Macaca mulatta: one gene and its partners. The protein of the gene in region 5 purifies or fractionates together with the protein of the main gene of each other region. This does not show direct contact. Links are inferred from orthologs where the notes say so. Each region holds a gene or a part of one and is shown on either strand. Other genes may lie near its edges.

Region 1 (4,276 bases), on a different chromosome or scaffold from region 5:
AGGCCAGTTTCATTCCAACCAACCTCTTGTGTTGAATAGGTTGACAATCTGCTGGAGCACCTTGTGGAGGTCAGTGGTAGTCTAAGCCTTCTGAATTTTGCTGCCATCCATCGGAAACAATAGAAAACATTCAAAACAGATGAACTGTCCATCAATCGGGCACTGGTTAAATAACTTATAACAACTCTGAGGGCAACAATAGAATTGTTTAAAAATATAAATAAGCTCTCCAGCCTGGGCGACACAGCGAGACTCCGTCTCAAAAAAAAAAAAAAAAAAAAAAAAAAAAAAAAATATATATATATATATATATATATAAATAAGCTCTCTATAGTAATTCAGGAAGATCTTGAAGTGAAAAAAGAAAAATGCAGAACAGTGTACATGGTATGCTATCTTTTACATAAAAATGAGGAGAGTGTAATAAAAACATGACTATTCTTACTTTGCACACACTTAAAGAACTAGAAGGACTTAAAAGACATAAACTTCAAAATTTGGAAAATGGAAGAAACTGTGTCAAAGTATACATTGATTTGTATGTCAAAATTTAAATTTACCACTAATTAAAGAAATGTAAATTAATAAAATACTTAAAAAGGGAAAAGTCAGCAGAAGGGAAAGGCACAAACATTGCTCATGATAATATTTTGGAAATACTGTCTTGGATCAGCATTTTACTAAATATTATCCATAACAGGGCTAAAATTTTGCTACCAGATTCTGTAAATTTACTACAGATTCTATAAAACAATGGAGGATAAGAAGGTACATATTCAGGAACAAACAATGGGCAAAGGAAACTATAGTATGTTATTGAAAAATTATGTAGCCATTTTTAAAATTATGGAAAACAAAGGCATTTCAAGCCAAAAATTTAGACTATACCATTTATATAATAAAGTAACAATCTAGTAGAGACAAATATTTTGCCTTTGAAATTATAACAAATTTGAAAATACGAACCAAAATTGTAACTAAGGTATCTATTACATAATGTGGGATAACAATTATTGTTTTGTAGAGGAAAAAAAAAATTAAGCATCCAGGTTTCCTCTCAATTTATACAAAAGCCGCGTTTCACTGTTATTCAAAAAAACAGAAACTAGGAATTGCAAAGTTTTAAAAAATGTATGCATTTGGGGAACGTAAGAGCTCAGATATGTGAAAAACTTACATCAAACATGCAGCATAATATACGTGCACACATTCTGTCCTATTTTGTCCCACATACAAGGCAGATCTAAGGAGCCGGGCTCGCGCCCACTCCAGACAGCTCGTCTTCCTCAACCCCCGCCCTCCCCGCCTCCCGCACACTTCCTCCCCCTTCCCCACCCCCACACGCCCGCCCACTGACGAGCTCTGGAGGCCGCGCAGCCGCAGTAGCCGCTACGGCCGCTCCCACCCCGCGGGATCCTGGGAGTAAGCTTTTCCGGAAGGAGCGGCTCGGCGTCGGGGCTAGGCCGGTATTCTAGGCCCAAGCCCAGTCCCAGGCCTGTGTTCCAGGTCCTTGCTCAAAGACAGGTCGGTGGCCGCTGCGACACTCTAGGTACAGCGGAGGGCGCAGCGGGCCGTTCGCTGAGGTTCCCGGACCCGCCGCCGAGCGGGCCGTGGAGCCACAGTACGTGGCGGCGCCTTTTCGTTGCCCGAAGCGGAACTGCAGAAGGAGCGGCAGCGCAGGCCGGACGAGGTGAACCGGGTCATTTAACCGCCTTCAGGTGATGAATCATCTGTCTAATAATCAGATTTGAGGTCCACAGCCCTTTGTGGTCCTGCTACAGGGCGATTTTCAGTGGATGACTGACTGGCGTGGCCTGAGGGGTGCCGCAGTGGCTGCCTTCCCTTGATAAGGAAACGAGCTTTCTGTTCTTTGTGGACACCTCGTTGCCTGTAAAACATTCCGGTTATAACTTCTTTCTCCGGCTTGCATCTCTGTGCAAGAGGAAAGCTTTCACATGAAAGTGTCCCTTGGTAACGGCGAAATGGGCGTCTCTGCCCATTTGCAGCCTTGTAAGGCAGGAACCACACGCTTTTTTACCAGCAATACACACAGTTCGGTGGTACTGCAAGGCTTTGATCAGCTTAGAATAGAAGGATTGCTTTGTGATGTGACTCTGGTACCAGGTGATGGAGATGAAATCTTCCCTGTTCACAGAGCTATGATGGCGTCTGCTAGTGATTATTTCAAAGCTATGTTCACAGGTGGAATGAAAGAACAAGATCTGATGTGCATTAAGCTTCATGGGGTGAACAAGGTTGGTCTGAAGAAAATCATTGATTTTATTTATACTGCAAAACTTTCTCTTAATATGGACAATCTTCAGGACACACTTGAAGCTGCTAGTTTTTTACAAATATTACCCGTTTTGGATTTCTGTAAAGTATTTCTTATATCAGGAGTCTCTTTAGATAACTGTGTTGAGGTTGGACGAATTGCTAACACCTACAATCTCATAGAAGTGGATAAATATGTTAATAATTTCATCCTGAAGAACTTTCCTGCTTTATTGAGTACTGGGGAGTTTCTAAAACTCCCTTTTGAACGGCTTGCCTTTGTGCTTTCCAGTAATAGTCTTAAGCACTGTACCGAACTCGAACTCTTTAAGGCAGCCTGTCGCTGGCTAAGGTTGGAAGACCCTCGGATGGATTATGCTGCAAAATTAATGAAGAATATTCGATTCCCACTGATGACACCACAGGATCTCATCAATTACGTGCAGACAGTAGATTTCATGAGAACAGACAATACCTGCGTGAATTTGCTTTTGGAAGCCAGCAATTACCAAATGATGCCATATATGCAGCCAGTGATGCAGTCAGATAGAACTGCCATTCGATCTGACTCCACTCACTTGGTTACATTAGGAGGAGTTTTGAGGCAGCAGCTGGTTGTCAGTAAAGAATTACGAATGTATGATGAAAGGGCACAAGAATGGAGATCTTTAGCCCCGATGGATGCTCCCCGTTACCAGCATGGTATTGCTGTCATTGGAAACTTTCTTTATGTAGTTGGTGGTCAAAGTAATTATGATACAAAAGGAAAAACTGCTGTTGATACAGTTTTCAGATTTGATCCTCGGTATAATAAATGGATGCAGGTTGCATCATTAAATGAAAAGCGTACATTCTTTCACTTGAGTGCCCTCAAAGGACATTTGTATGCAGTTGGTGGGCGCAGTGCAGCTGGTGAACTGGCCACAGTAGAATGTTACAACCCAAGAATGAATGAGTGGAGCTATGTTGCAAAAATGAGTGAACCCCACTATGGCCATGCTGGAACAGTATATGGAGGCTTAATGTATATTTCAGGAGGAATTACCCATGACACTTTCCAAAATGAGCTTATGTGTTTTGACCCAGATACAGATAAGTGGATGCAAAAGGCTCCAATGACTACAGTCAGAGGTCTGCATTGCATGTGTACGGTTGGAGATAAGCTCTATGTCATTGGCGGCAATCACTTCAGAGGAACAAGTGATTATGATGATGTTCTAAGCTGTGAATACTATTCACCAACCCTTGACCAGTGGACCCCAATTGCCGCCATGTTAAGAGGCCAAAGTGATGTTGGAGTTGCGGTCTTTGAAAATAAAATCTACGTTGTTGGTGGATATTCTTGGAATAATCGTTGTATGGTAGAAATTGTCCAGAAATATGACCCAGAAAAAGATGAGTGGCATAAAGTTTTTGATCTTCCAGAGTCACTTGGTGGCATTCGAGCTTGTACACTCACAGTTTTTCCACCTGAAGAAAACCCTGGGTCACCTTCTAGAGAATCACCTCTTTCAGCACCTTCAGATCATTCTTAGGTCTAAGGTGTAACACCTTTGCAGTACATCATGGGTGATCTAATACTTCTTCAGTTGTATCTTCTTACAGTGATTGGTACAGTTATTAGATATAAAGGTAACTGATGTTATTCGTCTTGTTTGGCTTTTAGTATGTTTATCAAGTGACTAACAAATGCATTCTGAAGATGTATTTAACATAGCTAGCTGTTTTAACAAATGAGAAAAAAAGATGTAGAAAAATGTTTAGATGTCTTTTTGTGATGTTATATAAAATTGTAGATGACTGTGGTAAATGTGTAATTATGTCCATTATGCTTCAAAGTCGAGTTTTCATCTTTGACTCCAAAATGTCAGAGGGAGGTCACTGTAACCTAAAATTAACGAAAGGTTGCCCAGTATTAATACTAGTTACCTCCCTCTTTTCATAGTTTTTGATATGTCTGTCAACTTACTCGATTGTGTGGTTGCATTCAGAATATTTGAAG
Region 2 (4,395 bases), on a different chromosome or scaffold from region 5:
GATTTGCATTGCTTCCCCACTCGGCATCCCCGCCCCCACCTCTCTGAAAAACAAAACCCCAACCTCACAAAATCTCTATGGATCCGCGGTAGCGAGACGTGAAGGGGTTGATTTGTGGAGTGGGAGTCGCTGGCCCATTGCGGTGCTTGGGACTCATTAAACTGTCACTCACCCCCCACCCCACTGGGTAAATGGGGTGATTAATGTCTGATATACTGGAATGGGGCGAGGGCATTTATGGAGAATAGGTGGTGTGGCTGGAAAGAAATTGATCGCCCAAGGATGTCTCCTGGACTAAGCGTTCATAATTATGTCACTCACCGCGAAGTTGGAGAAAGTTAGGTTTGTGACTTTGGGAAAGCGAGAAGGACAGGAGAGTCGTCGGGTTTTGTTACTATTTAACTCTCCGCCACGGCTTTCTAATGGGAACGAAGTGGTTATCACCAGGGCTGGGACGCTGACGCCTCAGGCCCCAGTTCCTTTTCTACCCCTCGCCCTCCCAAGAGTCTGAGGAGATGTATTTGACATTCAGAGATGTCGCAGCACCCTGCCCGGCACCGGTCAGCCCAGCCCGGGTCGCGTTACAGTTTCATCAGCTTTTAGAAAAGACCCACAAACTCTGGCTGAAAAGTTCTCAAACTTACTAGACCTGGCTTCCCCCCACACAAAGATTTTCTTGTGATCATTAAACATGACAGAGTGACACCCCCCACACACACAAAAAAGATTGTTAAGGGACACAGATCAAGGGGAAGGCAAGGTTCTGCTTTTTCTGAGCAGAAAGATCAGATATGCAGGTGCAGCATTCATTTTAAGTGACTGTAGCAGGTTGTATCAGTTTATTAATTGGTCTCGTTGAACTGAAGTACTTTCCAGGATTTCAGAAAGTGCAGTTTCAGCTTGTTGGTACTGAGAATTGAAATTTGCATTGACTGTGGCAGTGTAGGAAATTTTTCTGAGAAGGTAGTTGTAGATAAGTCATTAAATAAGAGTGAAATAATAAGGTGAACCAGTCCGAAGTAATGGTTCTGAAGAAGTCTGCCAACGTTTGAGACATGTATACCATTGTCTCAGCAGAAAAAAAAAGTGCGGTAATAATGTTGAAATGGGACTGGAGATGTCAAATGGGTTGGTTTAAAAATATCCCTAAACTGCCTTAGAAACTAAACGTTGGAGTTAAATAAAAGTGAATCTGGATTTCCTGAATAGCACCGTGGCTTGAGTGTGCTGTCAGTATGTAAGCCAGTCCACCAACTTAAGACAGAAGTGTTGCTATTCCATAAATACAGTAGAACTCCATATGCTGAGTTTTTCAATTTCTTCTGTTAGAAAGTTTGGAAAAAAAGGAAGACTTTGAAGTATTTTGTTTATACTAACAGAAGAGAAAAGTTCTCCTAAGAAAAAGCTGGTGGCAGGAGTGTAGAGGAGTAGCATATGGCATTAAAAGGAGCACAGCTGGAGGTAGCATTTCCATCTGAACATGATGTCAGAGCAGCTGACAGCCTGCCATCCCTCAGCCTTTTATTCTAACACACAGACAGGGAGTTAGTGTGTGCGGATCTGTGGTGGAGAAGGTATCTCATTCCTCTCTAACATCATCTCCACTTTGCATCTGTCTCTCTTAGTCTGCTTTTTTTCCACCGATGTAACAGACCTGGAGCCAGCAGGACTCAGAGGAAAGGACTTAATCAGGTTTATGTGTCCTAAAGGTAGGAGTAGCAAGAGATTAGATTGAGCATATTTCTGTTTTGGTGTTTTGTTTATTTAATTTTAAAAATCACATTACTTTTCTAACCCAGTTTAGGAATAATATATGAAATTGAGTATTAAATGAACATCTTACTGGAGTTGAAAGTCTTGAGCTTGTTTAGTTTTAATTTTTTATCCCTTTTACTTGAGCGAGTAAATAACTTTAATACACAGAAATATGTCAAGTTTTGAAATGTTAAGAAAGGCTTTAAAATACTGCTTTTGGAAATCACGTTGGATTAAAATGCTTTTTTGTTGTTCACTGCTATTTAGATTTGACTGGGATGGTGGTGGTGGGGAAATACTAAACTGTCTGGAATCCAGCATTCAAACTTATATGAGAAGATTATTCTAGTTAAGAAGCTAGATTGTTGTGTAATTAATTCCACTGTGAAACTTTATTCTTCAAAACATTGAACAGCACTGCTGAAACATACAGCTGTAGTGCTTTTGAAACTGAAGGTTTTTAAGAAGAAGAAAAAAAAAACTTTTGTCCCCAGGAGAATAGTTTGACTGGTTTCCTCACTTCTCTTTCAAATATATATTTAAGAGATCTTTTATTTCAGCATAACAATAATTATTTGCAGGAGTTTTTGTGTTAGCGACTAATTTAGAACTTGTAGATTTGAGCTGCCTGAATTGGCCAGACAGCTGTAATCGCACTCCTCTATTCTTAATCTCTTTATCTGGGCAGCAGCTGCCATATGGCCACAGTCAGCTGGATCAGATGTTTATAAGCTTCCTTCTTCGTCCCTCTCTGTCCTCTCAGCCTCCTAATTTGATCACGGCTACCTTGTGAGCTGCCCTCCAATCTTTATTTTTAGCCTTCTCAAGGATTAGGATTGATGTTAGCTGTGGGGCACTTAAAGTGATTGTATTGTAAATCTTAGTTTATTCTAGCAGTGGCATCTTGCAGAATGTATTTGGGGTTAGGATAAAGTTTTAGTCTGTCTTGGGCAAAGTGTAGAAGAAGAAGAAGGAGGGAAGTAATTTCTGAATATTAAATTAAGTGTATCTATTCCCAAAATGCACTTGCTGAGATGGGTGGTGTGGAGCCTTGCTTCTGGTCACAGGAAAGGGGAAGTCGGGTCTTTCTTTTTCAGGAGTTTACCCACTGCAGTTGAATTCTGACCCTTTGTACATCTTTGCCTCTCCCCTCCGTCCATTTCACTCTCCCTCATCAGAAAACCAGGGCAATGATGAATATTTGCAAGAATAGAAGCTAGTGGGAAAACAAAACTATATCAAATTAGATTGAAACAAAGTATTTTCTGTTGGCTGAGGTAAGGCAGAACCGGGGGGGGGGGGGAAAAGTTTCTCTTTTTCTAAAAAGGCTTTAAAAAAAAAAAAGTTGAACCTGTAAAGCTTTTGAGTTTTATTTAAGCCTTATATGCTTTTATTTTTAAAAGTTAGAATTAATTTTAATAGGAAATTCATTTTGCCTTGCAATGGATCAAAGTTTAGATGAGAATTTTCAGAGTTAAATAAAGCCCTCTGGTTCCTAATATTCTAAAAGTACAGTTTCTACGAAGAAATATAACAATTTTTTTCTCAGTTCATTTTGAAAAATCTTTGGATTTGTTCATAGTAAAGATGATCTTTTCCATCTGCTGGTGCAGCTCCTGATCTCGCACATGTGTGCTGTACCTGCAAATCTGAAGGCATTAACATCTGTTTTTATACACAGGGCTTTTGTTGTACCACTCTGACTTTAAAAGTAAGTTGTTTGCTAATTTCTGGACTAATTATGCAATTTCATTTTTTTTTCTTGAATCAGCCAAATGTGTGTGTGTGTTTAAACTGTGCTTTCTAAGTACAGTCAAGTAGCAAAAGTAATAAAAGGAAAAGGATGGTTGAACAAGTTTTCTTGTATGTTCCAGGATATGTTTGGGACTTTGTTTGTTTATTATATGAGTTGTTTCCTTTGAAATTAAAGCTATTTTGTAGGTTTTGTAGGACATAATTTGATAAGTAGAGTTAGTTAAATTTCTTCTGAAAGAGATCTAAATTCTTATTCTTAGTGAGAGACTGTAGTTAAAGGAAGGCTTTGAAAGCTTGGGTTCAGGGAAGATGGAGATGCGTCGGAGGCTGTCCGGCGGGGGTAAGGAGTTGAGAAAGTGCACGTTTTCCTTCTCGCGTTTAGGTCTCGTCCGTGTGATTTGGTAGTGCTGGGTCATAAGCCTGATTGAAATTCAGGGACATGTACCACGGCGGCCAAGGCGGAATTAATTTTTTTATATGGGGACTAGAGCACTGAAAAGTTGTTCCCGACCAGGCTCTAATGAGAACTTCCTCTCTCCCCAGGTTATGAAGACAGTATGGAGTTTCCAGACCATAGTAGACACTTGCTGCAGTGTCTGAGCGAGCAGAGGCACCAGGGCTTTCTTTGTGACTGCACTGTTCTGGTGGGAGATGCCCAGTTCCGAGCGCACCGCGCTGTACTGGCTTCATGCAGCATGTATTTCCACCTCTTTTACAAGGACCAGCTGGACAAAAGAGACATTGTTCATCTGAACAGCGACATTGTTACAGCCCCCGCTTTCGCTCTCCTGCTTGAATTCATGTATGAAGGGAAACTCCAGTTCAAAGACTTGCCCATTGAAGACGTGCTAGCAGCTGCCAGTTATCTCCACATGTATGACATTG
Region 3 (4,234 bases), on a different chromosome or scaffold from region 5:
ACAACAAAATCAGAGATGTACTGAAAATGAAAGTACACTCCAGTGTGGGCGCAGGCCCAGCACAGGGCTCAAGGGCCCTGTTACAGAATTCCTGGAGGTTTAAATACCCTCTAGAGGATTCACTGGTTACTTGGTGTATACCCTATGTAAACGAAGAGAATGAATTAAAGTTACAAACTCATTTACTCGGCATACACCCTATGGAGAGGATATTTCTTGTTATAGCTAAAGTGTGAATCGGCCTTATGTTCCCTGCCTCCAGACCCTATTTTCCTGCCTCAAATCTCTAATACTTGATTTTGATGATTTAACTGTTGATCAATGCAAATATAAAAGACTTTTGTAAAGCATAGGCTATACTGTATGTTAATTCAAGGAATGTCAGGGCATGTACTAATGCTGAATTCTGAGAATCACGTGCTTTTGTACAGAACAAAGTCTGTTTCTTGAAATATTTTGAGTTAAATACTCCCTAAAACTCCTTAATAAAGGCAATTACAGAATCTGTTAATTGATATGTGGAATGGCAGTGAAAGAGGCTGTATTAGACGACTTGAAAACACTCATATTTGGAGCTTAATGAAAATATTCCTGCTCCCCAGAGATGAAATGTTAGTGAGAGTAGCAAATAATCTATTTTTATATGCCCGATTTGCATATTTGAGGCCATCTATTAACACCGTTCTTTAGGACCTCAACCTAGTCGTCTAAGACATCCTTATTAAACAAGGCCAATACGTACCATTTAACATTGAAAATAGTTAATGCCCTTCAAAATCTTTCAAAAGAATAAAAATTAAAAACTAAGTTCTTTGTAAAATTTTGCGGTTTAAAATAATTTTTAAAATTTTAAAAATTTTTTGGTTTCAAATTAGTGGGTGCCTCATTTATCATAAATTATAAAAGAGAATCTAACAATTATTGGCTACATTCTAGGCACGGGGTAACGCTTTATTGTTCTTCTAACCAAAAAAATATATGTATCTAAGTATCCTATGTAACGTATCATTCAATCACACAAAACCCTATGAAATACTGGCAGGGCCCGGTGGCTCACGCCTGTAATCCCAGCACTTTGAGAGGCAGAGGCAGGAGGATAATTTGAGCCCTCAGGAGTTCAAGACCAGCCTGGACAACAATAGTGAGACATCGTCACTTCACCATCATATCCAGAATTAATTTCTACTGTTAGGGCAGTCAGCGAAAGGAAAGCTCGCGATATTACACAAACTACTACTCCCAACATGCAAAGCGGTTTCTTTCCCTCTGTCCCCGCCCGGCCGTCCGAGAGCCCCAGCAGGCCTCGGGGCGCGAAAGGCAACCTGGAAGCGGTAGTTCTCCTGGGCGCCTAGCGGGATCGCCAGCGCGGCAGTGGGGCCTTCCGCGGCTCCAAGCCAGCGGGTCCTGTGAGGGCGAGCGGAGGCGGAGAAAGGGCGCGGGAGTGAGAGAGGGTGAGTCAGCCACTGTCTACGCAATAAAGGGAGGCCTCACCGCGGGCTAGGGCTGAATTCAGAAGTGCGGCCCGTGCCGCAGTCTGTTCCAGGACGCGGCTTGTCTTAGCGTCTGCGAGGGAAGGTTGAGGAGGAGCCAGAGCCGGGTCCGGCAGCCTTTCTCGCTATCAGCGCCCGTCGCCATCTCCACCATGCAGTCCCGGGAAGACGCCCCGCGCTCTCGCCGCCTCGCCAGCCCCCGCGGTGGGAGGCGGCCCAAGAGGATTTCCAAGCCCTCGGTTTCGGCCTTTTTCACGGGTCCAGAGGAATTAAAGGACACGGCCCATTCTGCAGCCCTGCTGGCACAGCTCAAGTCTTTCTACGACGCGCGGCTGCTGTGTGATGTGACCATCGAGGTGGTGACGCCTGGCAGCGGGCCTGGCACGGGTCGCCTCTTTTCCTGCAATCGCAACGTGCTAGCAGCTGCGTGTCCCTACTTCAAGAGCATGTTCACAGGTGGCATGTACGAGAGCCAGCAGGCCAGCGTGACCATGCACGATGTGGACGCCGAGTCCTTCGAGGTGTTGGTCGACTACTGCTACACGGGTCGTGTGTCTCTCAGCGAGGCCAATGTGCAGCGCCTGTACGCAGCCTCCGACATGCTGCAACTGGAGTATGTGCGGGAAGCCTGTGCCTCCTTCTTAGCCCGACGTCTTGACCTGACCAACTGCACCGCCATCCTCAAGTTTGCAGACGCCTTCGACCATCACAAGCTTCGATCTCAGGCCCAGTCCTATATAGCTCAGAACTTCAAGCAGCTCAGCCGAATGGGTTCAATTCGGGAAGAGACTCTAGCAGATCTGACCCTGGCCCAGCTGCTGGCTGTCCTGCGCTTGGATAGTCTGGACATAGAGAGTGAGCGGACTGTATGCCATGTAGCTGTGCAGTGGCTGGAGGCTGCTCCCAAGGAGCGGGGTCCCAGTGCTGCGGAAGTCTTCAAGTGCGTGCGCTGGATGCACTTCACTGAAGAAGATCAGGACTACTTAGAAGGGCTGCTGACCAAGCCCATTGTGAAGAAGTACTGCCTGGACGTTATTGAAGGGGCCCTGCAGATGCGCTATGGTGACCTGTTGTACAAGTCTCTGGTGCCAGTGCCAAACAGCAGCAGCAGCAGCAGTAGCAGCAGCAACTCTCTTGTATCTGCAGCAGAAAATCCACCCCAGAGACTGGGTATGTGTGCCAAGGAGATGGTGATCTTCTTTGGACACCCCAGAGATCCCTTTCTCTGCTATGACCCTTACTCAGGGGACATTTACACAATGCCATCACCTTTGACCAGCTTTGCTCACACTAAGACTGTTACCTCCTCAGCTGTCTGTGTCTCCCCAGACCATGACATCTATCTAGCTGCCCAGCCAAGGAAAGACCTCTGGGTGTATAAACCAGCTCAGAATAGTTGGCAGCAACTTGCAGATCGCTTGCTGTGTCGTGAGGGCATGGATGTGGCATATCTCAATGGCTACATCTACATTTTGGGGGGGCGAGACCCTATTACTGGAGTTAAGTTGAAGGAAGTGGAATGCTACAGTGTTCAGAGAAACCAGTGGGCATTGGTGGCTCCTGTCCCTCATTCCTTCTATTCCTTTGAACTCATAGTGGTTCAGAACTATCTTTATGCTGTCAACAGTAAGCGCATGCTCTGCTATGATCCTAGCCACAATATGTGGCTGAACTGTGCTTCTCTTAAACGCAGTGACTTTCAGGAAGCATGTGTTTTCAATGATGAAATCTATTGTATCTGTGACATCCCAGTCATGAAGGTCTACAACCCAGCTAGGGGAGAATGGAGGCGGATTAGTAATATTCCTTTGGATTCAGAGACCCACAACTACCAGATTGTCAATCATGACCGAAAGTTGCTTCTCATCACTTCTACAACCCCACAATGGAAAAAGAACCGAGTAACAGTGTATGAGTATGATACTAGGGAAGATCAGTGGATTAATATAGGTACTATGTTAGGCCTTTTGCAGTTTGACTCTGGCTTTATTTGCCTTTGTGCCCGTGTTTATCCTTCCTGCCTTGAACCTGGTCAGAGTTTTATTACTGAGGAAGATGATGCACGGAGTGAGTCTAGTACTGAATGGGACTTAGATGGATTCAGTGAGCTGGACTCTGAGTCAGGAAGTTCAAGTTCTTTTTCAGATGATGAAGTCTGGGTGCAAGTAGCACCTCAGCGAAATGCACAGGATCAGCAGGGTTCTTTGTAAATAGATTTTGAGACACTAAGATGTTTCTACTGCTACGGAATGTATTTTAAACACATATCCTTTCTTTTTCTTGAAAAAAAAAAAGTTGACCAGGACCACAGATTTGGTTTAGAAAGGGTAATATTTTGAAATACTACAAGGTTTAAACAGTCCACAAAATCGACCTGTTTAATAATATACCTTCCTGAAAGTCCAAAATTAAAATATGGAAGCAAGAACTATGTAATTGACTGGGATGCTTGGTAGGTTTTTTTCATTGTTCAAATATTCATTGCACAGTGGATTGTTTTGATTAGTTAGTATGCTTTTTTTTTTTTAATTAATTCAGTCTTCTGTTAATTTTTAAGTTTTGGTTAGTGCCACAAGGAATTTAACTTTTTAATCTGTACAATAGAAAACTGGACTAGGAATTGTTGGTGGAGTTTTGAAGGATGTATACTTTCCTTCAAAATAAAGTGGTAGATTTTCAAAATTTTACACTAGTCAGTTCTTTATATTCTAAGTTAAATATAGTTTGTAAAATTATTTTGGTTT
Region 4 (3,610 bases), on a different chromosome or scaffold from region 5:
AGAAATTAGAGTATGTAGTATGTGTTAAGTGATAAGCAATTTTAAATTTCTTATACGGTGGTTATCTAGGAGCATGTTCTAGAAGATGCATTTAGGCTTGAAGTTATGAGCATGCATGTTTTCAGATAGTGCATAGAAAGCATGTATGTGTGTGTGTACATTAAAACGTGACAAAACTAGTATTTGTTGAAGATAGATATGGATGTTTATTGATTGTTTCAGTTTTACTAGCTTTGGAATTGTTTTCAAAGTTGATGAGAACAGAGACAATGAGGTACTTCTTACAAAAAGTAGTCATGGGCTCTGAATTCAGTATGTACTGACGAAAATAAAGCCACATTTCTGAAGAAACTGCCTTACTGTCTAAAAGAATTTATAAAACAAGTTTTCAGATGTGTTGAATTTTAAAGATTTTGTTTGTACAGAAAATTGCTAACAGCGCAAGAAGATGTTATTGCACTTGCTTTCTCAGTTTTGAAATCTAGTCCAAGAATGGGTTTAGTTGGGGGTGTGTGAATTCATATGTAAAGTTTTAAATTTGTAAATCTTTGATATGGGGTTATTCCTCTTAAAGGGGACATTTAGATTCATTAGTATTTTTGCATCTGAGATCAGCCTTTGCTTGATGATTTTGATGTCAAAAACTTACATTGCTTTTTCCTTAGTTTTCTATTATGGAATAATGTACCCAGAAGGATATTATTGATCAGTAAGCACCATTTTGAAGAGCTCTATGACCTCAATGATCCTTAAGTGTAGTGAATTACAATGACAGTACCTTTATTCAGGCCACTCTTGTAATTCCTACAAGTATTCTCTGTTGTAAGAATTAGGAGAGATGGAAGAAATTTGGGGCAAGGTTTACTCAATTTGAATTACCATTTTGTGTTGCAGATAGAGTGTTACATTCCTTGTTATCATGGATGTTGAATCTCGGATTTTCAGTTTACAAATCGTTTTAGGGATATTCTTCTGTCTTTCTTTTGAGATGGGCTCTCGCTTTGTCACCCAGGCTGGCCTGAATCTCATGGGCTCAAGCGATCGTCCCACAGCCTCTCAAATTACTGGGATGACAGGCACCAGCTACTGTGCCTTGCCTATTTCCTTATTCTTATATGTTGTGAATAATTATAGATATTAGAACATCTAACATGTCTTTTGATACTAGTTTCCCAAGTTATTTTAAGCAAGTCAGAAGAACTTATTGGCATGTGCTAGATAACATTTATTCTACAAGTAATTGTAGGACATATGTCTTAGACAGTAGAAAAACCAAGGCAAGTAAGATAGGCACAGTTCTTGCTGTCTTGGAGTTTGACTTTGTACCGATTTAGACAAGAAATATGGATCATAAAGCTCAAACTTTATTTAGAAATGTGAAACTAACAGTAGGTTGACCTCCAGGCTACCACCTCCATCCCATTCTTTATCCCTCACACAGAAATGCTTCACTTTAGGATTCTTACAGCTTACTTCCAAACACGAATTAGGTGCAACTATGATGAATTATAGTTGAATTATATGTAGCTATGGGTGCAGGGAGCTTTCTTTACATCAAAAACCGGTCAAGATATTCCAAGTACAGCACAGTTTACAGTAATAGTAATGATGTGCAGTTTTAAAATACTTTAGAGACATTTTTACTTTGTTGGGTATTAAGACTTTCACCAAAAGGAATCTTAAGTTATCTTAATTTTTAAGAGGAACAACATGTCTGGGAACATATATGGGAAATGATTCTTAGCAAATCCATTTGGGTAAACATTCTTTACTTTTGAAACCGTGATGCCCATGGGAGGAAAATGTATTATTGCTGCTTGAGTGAACTGTATCTTGGCAAGGAGTGTTTTAGGCAGCTTAAGTGCTTTGAATTGGGAGCATGCTTATCCATGGATGAGGAACAGCACAGAGGTCAGTATGGTTGGAATAGAGTGACTGAAAGGGTGGTTGGAAGCCAGGGCTCCACCAGGTAAAGCTCTGGAAGATACTGAAAGTCTCTAGCTTTTACTGTGAGGGTGGGTAGTCTTTGCAGCCTTGTAAGCTGATGGTGATCTGCCTTAAGGTAGTGTTTTAAAGAATCTGTGATTTCTCTCCTCAGAACACACTCCAGGAAGGCAACAGTGGAAGTAGGGAGACAAGTTTTTGGTGGCTACTGAAGACAGTCCAGGGGCTAGAGCTCACGATTGATTGGATCAGGGTGGCAATAGTTGTGGAAGATTCTGGATATATTCCTATTGCCAAAAGGTTCCTGGTCCAAGGAATTACATTAAAGATGGAATTAAATCCAGTGGATATAATTCCCACCCTTGCTAATCTGAAGATCCTTAGACACATGCATTATTCTATTTTGATTCTGTCTTCTGCACGTTATTTTATTTAAGGATGGAGTTAGAAAGAAATTTCAGTGAACCCTGAGAGCATTCAGTTACCTTGCCCTAATATGTCTGAAACAACAATGATATAGTAATAGAACTTTAAATTTTTAATTATCCTGTGTATATTCTTTATTCTCAGTCCATTTTTCTATACTAATCTTAAAATTATGTGCCTGTCTTGGGTTTGTAATAAGGAGAATATCCCATTTGATAGCTGGGCTTTAGGGTGATATAATCTCAAGTGATAGAGTAGTTAGAAAAAAGCAACTATTAGGAGTTCTGGTTTGAATATACCCATCCTTTAAAAGGGTAATTTCTTGTGGCGTCTGCACAATTAAATGATACTCATGTTTTTTTCTCCCCTACCAGCACCTTTTTTTTTGTTTGTTTGTTTTCGTTGAGACATGGTCTCACTGTCACCCAGGCTGGAGTGCAGTGGCGCAATCTTGAATCACTGCAACTCCTGGTCTCAGATAGTCTTCCCAAGTAGCTGGGACTGCAGGCACCCACCACCATGCCCAGCTAATGTTTAAAATTTTTTTGTAGAGACGGAGATGGAGTTTCTCCATGTTGCCCAGGCTGGTTGCAAACTCCTGGGCTCAAGTGATCCTTCTGCCTCAGCCTCCCAAAGTGCTGGGATTATATGCATGAGCCACTGTGCCTGGCCCATGATTTTTTTTTTTTTGTAAACTGAATTTCTTCTATTATAGTTGAATAGTATTTCATTTAATTGTGATAATAAAGTAGGAAGACATCTCAATTTTAGACTAAAATACAGTTTTATTTAACTCATTAAGAAGTTCTATCATAATGCTCATAGGATATAAATATATTTTCTGTTTTCTGACTCTGATAAGAGATAGATCTTTATTACCATTACTAATTCAGACTTTTTACTTGTACTAGGTACTTCACATGATTTCAAGTATGGTTTGATGCCTGGTCCTTCAAATGATTTCAAGTATGGATTGATACCAGGTACTTCAAATGATTTCAAGTATGGATTGATACCAGGTGCTTCAAATGATTTCAAGTATGGATTATTGCCAGAATCTTGGCCAAAACAAGAAACTTGGGAAAATGGCAAGTATTAGTCAACTAAACAAATACAAAATTATTAAATAATTGTTAAGAATTCAAAGCTTTCATATTCTGCATTTTTTTAAAAACAAGTATCAGTAGTTCTACATAATTGCTGTTCTCAGAGATAAGAAGTTTTGATAGCAAGTTTTCTG
Region 5 (3,624 bases):
GCGATTTTAAACAACTCACTTGATATGGTTTGGCTGTGTCCCCATCCAAATCTCATCTTGAACTGTAGTTCCCATAAGCCCCAGCTGTGGTGGGAGGGACCAGTGGAAGGCAATGGAATCGTGGGCGTGGTTTCCCCCGTGCCATTCTTGTGTATTGAGCAAGCTCTCATGAGATCTGATGGTTTTATAAGGGGCTTCTCCCTTTGCTTGGTTCTCATTCTTCGCTCTCCTGCCACCTTGTGAAAAAGGACTTGTTTCCTTCCCCTTCTGCCACGATTTTAGGTTTTCTGTGAGTCAATTAAACCTCTTTCCTTTATAAATTACTCAGGTATGTCCTTACAGCAGTGTGAGAACAGACTAATACACACTTATTTAAATGCTTGAGGTTTTAATCTTATCTCTATAATCACCCGCCCAATTAGAACCTCCTAAACTCAGTCTCGTTTATTATTCTGGGTTAGTCAAACCTACATAAGTCTGTAGTGAAACACACAAAAGCACAGACCACTGCATGCATCATACCCAACCAGCATCAGGGCAGTCATTTATTGTCTCTAAAATAAAACAAAAGACACAGTGTTTTGTTTCTCTTTTATTGCAACCCATTGCAAGGTCAAAGATTCACGGAAATATAGAAACTACAAACCGGGTGAATTTTCTTTATCCACTCAAAAAGACATTAAAGACAAAGGACCAGAATTTTCCACTACAGCAATATATTTCATAGTCTTTATTCTGAAAATACTGTTGACATTTTGGAGAGAATAAAAAGCCCTGCATTAAACGTATTCACATGTATTTATGACATTCTAAGCAAAAAAAAAAAAAACTCTATATTGCCCAGAAAAATTATTTTAAGCCTCATTTCAAAGCATCTAATGAGAACACATTCAATAACCATCACAGGATCACTCAAGGTGATGCCTTTTTCTGGCTGGGTTTTTTTTTTTTTTTTTTTTTTTTTTTTGAGATTAATGCTTTGAGGCTGGATATGGTATTTCTATGGAGTTCTACAAATGTACCAAAGCAGTTTTCCAGATTATGTTGCATCAGGCTTTCTGGATTAGTCAACATTTTAGAGAATAAGTGCAAGTCCCCACCCCACCCCACCCCGCAAGCTAAAGCATGTTATAGTGCTGTACTTTAGATGCAAACAATGCAACGTTTAAAAAATCAATTATACACTCTGAAACCATTTGACAACCAAACTGTAACACTCCAAAGGTTATTACAACTTTGAACTGAAATGGTACCATCTATATCATAGATGGCTCTCCCTTCTTTTGTCTTTTTTAACTATTTAAAATATAGTATGACATATATAAAAATTAAACTTCTGCATATTCCCTCAAGCTACTATTACTATACATACTGTCTTATAAATTAGTTTTGGATTAAAAATCAGTTAAAATATTGTGAAATAAGCTATTTCAGTGGTGGGGAAGTAGATACGAAAATGATGTAGTTCAATGTGTAAGAAGAAATACAGTTTATTAATGTTAAACAGCTTTTTTCTTACACAAATTTTATTCCCTTCAAATTAAATTAGAAACTCATTTAGTGACGGGAAGAATACTCATGGTGCTTACTGACTAGATTTCCTAACTGATTGGGATTAAAACAAAAATGCCACATCAGAAACATGTTGACATAATCAAAGGAAACAGTTGTTTACAAAAAAAGAGAATCATTAGAAATCAGTAAATGGCATTCAAATGTAAAGCTATCTTTTGCTTCTTACAGCTAATGTCATGTTAGCAATGTGAGACTTAAAGAAAGTGAAACTCAAACCTCAGTATATCTGTTAAAGACCAAATAACAGTTATATTCACTCAGGGAAAAATAAATAGCAAATTCACAAGTTAGGGTTTTGTTTCTAGTTCTGCTGTGAAAGATAATCACTCTTTAGCTTAAAAAGGCTCCCTGATGTCCTCATTATAAATCTAGACACAGGAACAGTTATTTGAGCCTGAGTCCCTAATATGAATTAATTGTAAAGATGTGTTAAATCAAAACATATATTCATTTACTGATAGGTCTTGTCTTAACTGAAGCTGGCAATCTTTAACTAAACAAAGAAATGCTTATTTCTGACAAGTGTAAACAGAATTTCAATGAACGGATTTTCTAATTTTCCTTCTTAACTCATATATTAGCTAGCAATAGATCTTTGTAGTAGCACGAGAACTAGTCCAAAATGACAACATGCACATATCCAAAAAACCTGTTCAAAAACCCAAAGCAAAGCAAAAAAAGCAACAACAGTAGAAAGATTGTCTACTTATATCTCACTCATGAATCTTCTATTAATGTGACTACCCTCTCGTATCTCAGAAATACACTTTAATAATTACCAAAATTAAGAAAATAATGAAATGATCTGTACTTCTTAAAATAATTGCACACCATTAATTACATTGGTGGCTTCAATGCTAAGATTAGTTTCAAATATCATTAAAATATATCCTGACCAGTTACTATCCAGGAAATAAAAGCTAACACAATGTTAACGTAAAACCAACTAAAATATTTAGTGCTCAACAGAATGCATTTGTAGAATAATGTATAATTAATTTTTGTGAGCTGGCCAGGGGAGTTCAGATTGTTGCCTCCATATAACCAATTTAGAAAAGGCTTTATTCTTTCTAGTCCCCAAGTCACCTACCAGATAGCAAGTTGGCCACCTGAGGATGCATGGAGTTAGGCAGTGCCACAGTGGATAACATGCTACCTCGGTGGCCTGGAAGAAGGCTTCTCTGTCAGGAAATGATCTGGAGTAGATGAGAGCCCCGGTGTAGATGTGCACACATGTGTGAGTATGTGAGAATGTAAGTGCCTGTACGTGTAACATCACTTCTATTGTAGTCGTCATCAGCAGAAGTGCACAATTCATCCCATGTAAAAAGAAGGCCTTCTTATTTGGACATCTCCAAGTGGCAGCAATTAGAAGCTCAAAATAATACATCTAATTTTTTGACTCTATATTAAAAAAACTTTTTTTTTTTTTTAAAGAGAAAGAAGCCTTTGAAGTTAAAAACTAAAAAGTTTGTGGCTTTCATAATCTTTAATTTCTAAGAAAAAAAGCCAGCTCACTTGGGAACAAATGACAACTGCACTTCTGGTATACAGTATGCAAACAAGACACAAATACACATACTTGAACACATACAGACAGGCGACAGTTAAAACCCTTCCGAGAGATCAGCCCCCCAAATGTACAATTCTCCTTTGCTCTGCTGAATGATGCCAGTGGACTAGGCGGGGCAGGAGCGTTAGGAGGAGGCGGCAGACATGTTGGGGGTCCAGCCCATCTGATAGGCTCTCTCCAAGGTCCTCTTGCAGTCCTGCAGGACGGTGCTAAAGGTGATGTGGGGGTACTGCTGCACCAGCTGTTCCACCGTCACTTCGTTGACCTGCAAACAAAGAAGAGCCATCATCACGCACAGAGACCACCAACACCATGCCGCTGCCCATGCTCACTGATGTGCTGCGGCTGACTCACGGTGGCACAAGGAGCCCTGGCTTTGCTCCTCCTAGCGATGTGAGGAAGGGTTTTGTGAGAAGATATGTGTCCCCTTTCATCTGACCTTTCTGATCTCCCAGTAACACACCTGCCCTTAGGGA

The links.
Region 1: the proteins of FBXL17 (region 5) and KLHL9 purify together in Homo sapiens (co-immunoprecipitation; 3 studies listed by BioGRID and IntAct, with this or other methods). This does not show direct contact. The link is inferred for Macaca mulatta from reciprocal best matches to the Homo sapiens genes FBXL17 and KLHL9.
Region 2: the proteins of FBXL17 (region 5) and ZBTB18 purify together in Homo sapiens (co-immunoprecipitation; 3 studies listed by BioGRID and IntAct, with this or other methods). This does not show direct contact. The link is inferred for Macaca mulatta from reciprocal best matches to the Homo sapiens genes FBXL17 and ZBTB18.
Region 3: the proteins of FBXL17 (region 5) and KBTBD7 purify together in Homo sapiens (co-immunoprecipitation; 3 studies listed by BioGRID and IntAct, counting the BioPlex papers as one, with this or other methods). This does not show direct contact. The link is inferred for Macaca mulatta from reciprocal best matches to the Homo sapiens genes FBXL17 and KBTBD7.
Region 4: the proteins of FBXL17 (region 5) and ZBTB10 purify together in Homo sapiens (affinity purification with western blotting; 3 studies listed by BioGRID and IntAct, with this or other methods). This does not show direct contact. The link is inferred for Macaca mulatta from reciprocal best matches to the Homo sapiens genes FBXL17 and ZBTB10.

Annotation. Positions count from the first base shown.
Region 1 is NC_133420.1:77,885,119-77,889,394, forward strand, and holds the start of KLHL9 (kelch-like protein 9), read left to right. Parts: upstream 1-1,384; 5' UTR 1,385-1,955; coding exon 1,956-3,809; 3' UTR 3,810-4,276.
Region 2 is NC_133406.1:5,079,079-5,083,473, reverse strand, and holds the start of ZBTB18 (zinc finger and BTB domain-containing protein 18), read left to right. Parts: upstream 1-1,544; 5' UTR 1,545-1,696; coding exon 1,697-1,709; intron 1,710-4,053; coding exon 4,054-4,395.
Region 3 is NC_133422.1:20,614,049-20,618,282, reverse strand, and holds the start of KBTBD7 (kelch repeat and BTB domain-containing protein 7), read left to right. Parts: upstream 1-1,333; 5' UTR 1,334-1,642; coding exon 1,643-3,700; 3' UTR 3,701-4,234. UniProt on the Homo sapiens protein: As part of the CUL3(KBTBD6/7) E3 ubiquitin ligase complex functions as a substrate adapter for the RAC1 guanine exchange factor (GEF) TIAM1, mediating its 'Lys-48' ubiquitination and proteasomal degradation.
Region 4 is NC_133413.1:91,031,329-91,034,938, forward strand, and holds part of ZBTB10 (zinc finger and BTB domain-containing protein 10), read left to right. Parts: intron 1-3,281; coding exon 3,282-3,458; intron 3,459-3,610. UniProt on the Homo sapiens protein: May be involved in transcriptional regulation.
Region 5 is NC_133411.1:116,700,536-116,704,159, forward strand, and holds the end of FBXL17 (F-box/LRR-repeat protein 17), read right to left. Parts: intron 3,414-3,624; coding exon 3,273-3,413; 3' UTR 580-3,272; downstream 1-579. UniProt on the Homo sapiens protein: Substrate-recognition component of the SCF(FBXL17) E3 ubiquitin ligase complex, a key component of a quality control pathway required to ensure functional dimerization of BTB domain-containing proteins (dimerization quality control, DQC).